Linked DNA regions of Bombyx mori. The main gene of each other region encodes a partner of the protein of the gene in region 2 in a complex. Links are inferred from orthologs where the notes say so. Each region holds a gene or a part of one and is shown on either strand. Other genes may lie near its edges. The genes, in order: THO complex subunit 7 homolog and THO complex subunit 6.

The links.
Region 1: THO complex subunit 6 (region 2) and THO complex subunit 7 homolog share a complex: the UniProt entries of both Drosophila melanogaster proteins name them as parts of the THO complex. The link is inferred for Bombyx mori from reciprocal best matches to the Drosophila melanogaster genes thoc6 and thoc7.

The regions. Positions count from the first base shown.
Region 1 is NC_085129.1:4,007,584-4,011,233, reverse strand, and holds THO complex subunit 7 homolog, read right to left. Parts: upstream 2,215-3,650; 5' UTR 1,752-2,214; coding exon 1,742-1,751; intron 1,668-1,741; coding exon 1,544-1,667; intron 1,168-1,543; coding exon 693-1,167; 3' UTR 618-692; downstream 1-617. UniProt on the Drosophila melanogaster protein: The THO complex is required for cell proliferation and for proper export of heat-shock mRNAs under heat stress.
Region 2 is NC_085116.1:3,183,490-3,187,711, forward strand, and holds THO complex subunit 6, read right to left. Parts: upstream 2,826-4,222; 5' UTR 2,649-2,825; coding exon 2,545-2,648; intron 2,463-2,544; coding exon 2,073-2,462; intron 1,948-2,072; coding exon 1,785-1,947; intron 1,033-1,784; coding exon 712-1,032; 3' UTR 667-711; downstream 1-666. Other genes in the region: serine/arginine repetitive matrix protein 2, read left to right, coding at 3,655-3,893. UniProt on the Drosophila melanogaster protein: The THO complex is required for cell proliferation and for proper export of heat-shock mRNAs under heat stress.

The DNA.
Region 1 (3,650 bases), on a different chromosome or scaffold from region 2:
CGTAGGTAAACCTTATAGAAACCATTTAAAACAAAAAAAAGGTATTTGCGATTCATAATTTAATGTTTGCATTAGATCACTATGTAGTGTGACTTTTGGACAAGTCATGAAAACAACAAAGGATCTACCAGGCAAAGCCTAGCTAAACTATCCTAATCCTAAACCTAGGACTTTAACCTACATCTAAACCTAATCCTAAACCTAAGAATCCTCGCAACGAAAAAGATCGGACCATACCTCTGGGAATGTCGCCCAGAGGATCCCGTGATCCGCCACCCACGGACGCGCCTGGTGGAAGTCCAGCATCTCCCCCGCAGACGAGACCCACAGCACGCAATCATTGCGGGCTGAAGGTCCCGTCCAGATCGCGGGCCCCTACGTAACCTGATTCAACCCCAAAGCCAAGGTGAATGGGGTCAAGCTATTTTTTTCAGTTTTTGTGTATTTTTGTAGTGAACAATGTATAGTAACGCATTGTATATAAATATTTAAGCCTCCAGAACCATTATGATCTCCGTTTTATTACTAAAACAAAAAAAAACTATACAAATCAATGTCGAACTTAAAAAGTGTCCCAATTCTCCCCATTTTACAGTACTGAAAATGTAAACAAAAAATCAAGTAGAAAATTCATACTTTATTAGAAATCTCACATAGAGAAATAATCTTATACTCTAATACATCACTCATTATTATGATTCATTTGATATTTCTTTCATATCAACATCATCACAAATAGTCTCTGCATCATCTAGTTCATCTAATAATGCTTGTAATTGATGTATTGAAGTTACAAGCACATGAAATTGTTTCTTTCGTAATGCTAACCGACTTTCCAATTGCTGTTTGGTGGTTTCCAAGTTTGCTAGTTCAGTCTTCAGAGTGCTCAATCTCTCAGAGGTTTCCTTACGATCAGGCTGTTCACTGATAACCTTAGCCAAGACATCATATTCTATTCTGTTTTTTCTGACAGTCTTTGCTTGTGCTAAATCTGTTTTGCTCTTCTGTATGTTCTCTTTGGCCACCTCTATTCCGCTTTCTAGAATTTTCGAGAGTGCTTCGTAGCTTTTTAATTCAGCAGCCATCATTTCAGAACCGAGTTGCGATTTTGTGACAGCAAATTCGCATTGTGCCAGTTGAGCTAACATACGATCATGAGTAGCTTTACTAAAACGAGAAATCTTAATCGTATTACATATTCTGGAACTACAAAAACTTACATTTTGACTGCAGATTTTTATTCTCATAATAAAACAACAAATGTATATGGGGAATAAATGAAAAGGTTAATGAACACTTAATTGAATATTAAGGCTCTTTATTATAGATAAACAGATGCCAACATTTCCCTGCTGGTATTAAATGCTTACCAGAACCTTTGGGACACGAGATAGAAGTTTCAATTGAATTTACAATGGCAATTCTACCCTTCAAATTGGAAGCTATGATCAATGCGGAAGCTATGATAATTCGGAAGTGGAACAGTGTTTACGCATGTGAGCTCACAATACGTCCTAATACGGTACTATTTATTAAAACCAACCTTTCTTCCGGTTTGTCATCCGTTGTATTGCACCATTTTATCAAAGTTTTTAAAAGTACATTCAGTCTCCTGTCGTCTCCAGTACCGTCACCGTCGATCAGAAGTCTTCTACGAATCACATCTTCTGGAAATAACCAATGAGTATTGAAATAGTATTTGTTTTTGAGTAGTTTTGTATTCTTAGGTAAAGTTATTTACCGTCACCCATTATGTTTGGAGTAAAATTCAAATGAAATTATGATCTCGTCCGAGTTTGCCTTATAAATTGTTAGGTAATGTTTTTATTCTACAAAATAATCTTATCATAAGCGAATTCAAATTTATCCTTGTTCTTTATATGTAAGTGCTAACTTGTGTGTTTTATTTACAAAAATCAAGAAAAATTAAAAATATTTTATCTCCAAATTTTGGCAGGTTAAATTATTAATAAAAAAAAAGTTTTTTTTATCCAACTCATAGGCAAAGGAGACATTCTCATAAGTTAAAAATGCTCTTCTTTTTATCTAAATATTTTACGACAAAGCCTGAAATCATATCTGTTGCATAAAAAATGAAATGATATAAATAAGACGATAACTATTTTTATATTTAAAGATGAAGAAAACTAAACTAAATAAAACATTCACACAGTATTACAACTTTACTATTTCACATTCCTGTCAAAATTGATTGAAACAAAATTGCTGACCGTGGTTTCTTGAGATCTCAAAATTTAATTGAACGCTGATTAAATTCTTAAGATTTTAAGAACACAAAGCTTAACCTTTTTATTTTAATTAAAAGATTTTGATCGGCTATTTTCCCTTTGCTCATTCAATGGACGAAAGAAAACCACAGACTATTATGAGATGCCTGCCAAACAAGAAAAAAAAACAGATGTCACAACCACAATTCACATGTTGTTTTGCCTTTCGAATTTCGATCCATTGTTCAGGAAATGATGAATAACTGCTATATTAAACCCTTTAAACTATTGAATCTATTTTAACAGTAAATTAGCTGAGTAAACTTTCGGAATATCTTTCACTGAAACAATGGAAACGTCAAGTTTCAGTGATAAAGTCGAGATTTATTTCTCGGAACTTGGGCGATGGCTAGTATCAATAAATAAATAAATAAAATATTTTTTGGGTAAACGTCCTTAAACTAACTAAGTGTGCATTTTCAGGAAAGTGTGGAGGAGCATACTGCTTGGTCAAGTGTTATCCTTATTTCTGAGCGGCAAATGTATATTAACAACAATGTTACAAAGCGCAACCTGGCAGTTTCCTATCACGGGGCAGCTGGTCGTGCCGTATTTAGTACTGTTTGTACTCTTTACCCCGAGCCTACTTTGTACCGGGCTGGAGAAGCTAACGAAGTAAGTTCCAATTCAATTTTAAGACATGAAAAATATCGTCTTTTAAACCAGTTCTATTATTGAAAGAAGTATAAGACAAGACTAAAATAATTAAACTTACTAGGTACTATTACTATCTTATGTTCAATGGTGAGTGCGCTAAGTTTTCTTAATATCTTCTTACTACAAATGTGGAAGTAACCAATATTTAAATCTAACTATAAAATGTTACATTTATCGAGATAATTTTCTCTTATTCTTTTGCTTTGGGATAACTTCCCGCTCTACTCTTTTTATTAGTCAGCAAAATAAAGTATAAAAACATTTCTTAATTCAAGCTAGTATCAGCTGTGACATGTTGGAAAGCTCTGTGCATTCTGTTGTGTGTTTTGCTTTTTTCTTTATTAATACAAGAAATGGAATGGTAGCTGGCCTAATTAACCTTTAAATTTTCAATGTTCAATTCAAAGATGACTGTCTGAATAGATAGTTAAATAAAAAAGTAAATGTTAAATAATAATCAAGTATTTCTACTTAAAAAAGAGATGAAACAAAAAAATAATTACATACCTAGGTATAGAAATCATGTATTTCATTTCAATAAAAGATTCCATATTTAGTAGTTAATTGGGCAATGCAACTAATGAAATGAATTTTGTTGTTAGAAGATGGTGGGTACTCATCATTGCCTGTGTTCTTGACGTGGAAGCTGGCTGGCTGCTAGTCATGTCACAGAGGTTTACATCAGTGTTGAGCTGACAGCTGTTA
Region 2 (4,222 bases):
ATTAGATAGATAAAACACCCAGACTAAGAGCAAACAAACCTGTTCATCACACAATGCTTGTCCAATGAAGGAATCGAACTAGTGATACCAATTAGACGTAAATAGGAGGCGATTGAACTTATGAGCTGTTTCAATTTGAGGCTGGAGCAAGTAACTATAATTTACACAAGTACCGACTGGGCGCAATTGGTTAAATATTGTTATCCAAAAAACTTTATTGATGTTTTAATGTTGCATACATGCATATTTTACATTGTCCATTAAAAGCTCAAAATATGTACAGGTGACTGAGAAAATGAAAAATTAAGTTATTTAAATATCCTAGAGTAAATTTTACTGAACTTATCATAATATTAGTAAATACTGTATATTAGTCGTCTATTATCAAAGGTGGCAATCTGTGCATTTGGACAAAAAAATGTTATTGATATGTCAATACAGATTGATTTGAATATAATAGTCTCCTTCAAAGAATACGGTTCAAAACCTGCATTAAATAAAGGTTAATACTTAACCTGTTATTTATCTAAGATGTCGCTCATAAGAGTTTTGTGACTACCAATGGAATACAAAGTCAATAATTCATTTTTCTGATTTACCAATAATTTTCCAAAAGTCACATTACCGGCTTTGATAATAGTCGACTCATATAATAAAACTTAGGTCTCGATTTAATTTCATTTAATTTTTTCCACCTAAATATGCTTATAACTATCGAAAATGTAAAACTTGATCTTTGTAATTAAGAGACGTGCACAAATCTATTTCTGGACTGGAACCGGCTAAACTTAACAGGGTGCTGTATTTAGTTCTTAGCACCGCACTGTATATGGTCGTGGCAGACACTGGTAGTTCTACTCTCACCTCACCCGAGTAGCTCATTTGGTAAAAATGTTTAGAAGTACCACCGGCAAACACACAGTCATCATGAAAGAATGACACATGAATCCCATTGTCTGGAATGTCAAAGACTGTCACTGCATCTAATGAACGAAGGTGCCACAGAGACAATCGAGGTCCACCACCGCATACCTGTAAATTTTTTATATATTCCATTATTAATTATCACCCAGGTGTTAAGTGGTTACCAGAGCCCATAGACATCAGTACGTTGTAGATGTCTATGGGCTCTAGTAACCACTTAACACCAAGTGAGCTGTGAGCTCGTCCACAATCTAAGCAATAAAAAAAATTCTACAATGTAAATGCGCCATCCATCTTGAGATATAAGTTCTAAGGTCTCAGTATAGTTACAACGGCTACCCCACCCTTCAAACCGAAACACATTACTGCTTCACTGCAGAAATAGACAGGGTGATGGTACCTACCCGTGCAGACTCACAAGAGGTCTTACCACCAGTAATTATGCAAATTATAATTTTGCAGGTTTGAGTTTCATTACACAATGTTATTCCTTCACCGTGAAATCAATTGTGAACATTGGTCAAGTACGTATTTCATTAGAAAAATTGATACCTGGCTTGTGGGATTCTAACATTGTTGCATTGCTAGATATGATTGCACCGGACATCTTATCCTTTAGGCCACAACGACTTCGACACAACTTTCCTTAGGAATGCTATTGATGGCTTAAGAGGGTTTTAAATAAAATAAATCGCCTTTTACAACACACACAGAAAAATATCAGTCACAATATTATTATGTAAATTCCCTATTAAACAAAAATAATTTTTTCACTGATTTTCATTTTTGTTTTTATTTTCACCTCTGGCATTTTAATGATAATATGTATGAATAATTAGATTGATGATAGATGAACTTACAATCCAGTCATCTCCAAGAGCTGCTGAGCCAATCCACTTGCCAATATCAGGTCTGCTGACCTTATTATTAGTGTGCGGTTCCAATTTATTGTGTGATTTTCCACTTCTAGTATCCCAAAGCATAACCAAACCATCTTCGCCTGCTGAAATAATCTGTTGGTTTCTGAAATTTTTTTTTAAATAACTTCTTTATTACTGTAATATTAGCCATAAGCATATATGTATATCACTGTCAGGGCAAATATATTAGCAGCTGAAATAAGGCAAATAAACAAACAAACAACTTACTTTCCATGAATAGAATGAATAAAATTATTATGTCCCTTATAAGTTGAAATAAGGCTCCCATCTTCCAAATTAAACACATACACATTATTGTCTCCACAACCAGCATACAGCTTCTCACTGTCTTGAGATAGCCACATGCAGTTCACATCGTTGTAGTCCAAAAAAGTTTGGGAAGGAATCTTTATGCTCCATACAGGTTTTGATAATTTAACAGAAACAACAGCCTTCCAGTCCCATCCGCATATTTCATTAACGGTACCAATTATAAGGAATTTTTCCGTTGAAACTAGACTACAAATCTGTTTTTTTGAATCTATAGAATGTATATGTTTTGGTTTGTTGTATTCAACAGATAATAATTCTAGTACTGGATTTAAAATACGATCTAGGCTGTAACAAAAATTTAGAATGAATTTATAAACCTCTCCAAATATTAAAATATACTTCTATAAATTTAATACAAATAACATACTCAAATACAGCAAGATCTCCATAAATATTGCCGGCCACTAAATATTTACCACACGGCGATAAAGTCTGAGATAAAACAGTGTTATACAACATTTTATTCAACATGGTAAAAGTTTTGTGTTTGCTCAGAAACTAGACTACTTCGTCAGTTTTTCTAGATGCCATGCAATATTTTAATTGAAAAAGAAACATAAACAACCATAGGTAAACAACACAATTTAAAGCTACATATAACCTCTATTTCGAATGCAGCGATTTTTTTGCGGCATACACTCTTTAGGCAAAGGGAACAGTGTCCATGCTCTATTTTAAAAAACCAAAATGATTTAGCTCTATAGCTCTTTATGACGAATTGAGATAAAATTAAGGCAAATTCACCCTGTATAAGAACAGAAATTTAGTAAGACCTAAGGTTATTTTTTTAACAAAGGAAGCTATATAGACGAAGCTATCTTTCCACAAATCAACTTAATAAATCACGTATTAATTTATTGACTCATTACTATTATAGGTTAGAAACATTTTAATAAAATGAAATAGGTACTTCACTTTACTCTTACTAAAACTCTTATTACACTATATTATTATGTACTCTTATCTAAAACAAAAATATTGTGGTTTTATTGACATTTGCCTAAGTTTCTTTTCATATATTTCATTTTGTTTGCCGAAAACTCATTAAATCATGTTACATGTATTATTTTTATTCAAAAATTATGCTTTTTATCTTATTGTTTAGCGATCTCAAAATAGAAAAGTTATTCTAAAGTTCCAATTGATTTGCTTGACTTTGTCATTGTCAGTTAAAAACTATAGATAAAATGAAACATCTAAATTCATAGCCATTTCGTTGTCTATGAATAATTCAATCTAAAAAAATCAAAACCAAGCAAGATGGTCGTGTTCAATTCTTTTTAAACATAAACATATAATCTAATAATATTGTGAGTTATTGATCATTAACGTTGATACATTTTTTGAAAGAGAAATTGTTATTTATAGATTATTTTACTAACTTTTCTGGGAGTTTCTAATCTCGTGGCCTAATTCAGAACCTTCAATTTGCACACCGTAAGTGTTACGATTGGTTTTAGGTATATAATACGAAATAATGTATAATGGGATCGGGTTGACGACGCCACGGGGCTCCGGTACAAATGGCTACGTACAGAGAAATTGGGCCACGGTAAGAAAAACAAAAGACTCCGTCAACTACCGGACTGAAGATGAGATCGCCAAGTTGGATTCGGCGTCAAACAAACAACCAAATAGAGAAATACTCGATCATGAGAGGAAAAGGAAGATTGAAGTCAAGTGTGCAGAGTTGGAAGATAGCCTGGAAGAACAAGGGTGAGTAGTTAGCATAAATACAACAAATACACAGAAATCGGATTCATGGTATTGGAGATTTGTTCCGGGGATGGTCTCTTAAATTTTTATGATATGAGGTTGGCACACGTTGGGCTTTATAAATCAACATTATTTTGTAATTCTTGCTACCTTTTTCAGGGTTTCCAATTATTATATATTTTTTTTCTAAATTTAATTTTGTTTGGTAATTTAATATTCATATTATTAGGCTTTTTCTTCATATTTCAAGGAAACCGTGATTACTTTAACAACTATGACAGTCTGCTAATAATATTACTAATGAGTTATAATAACTGATGATAGCAGTA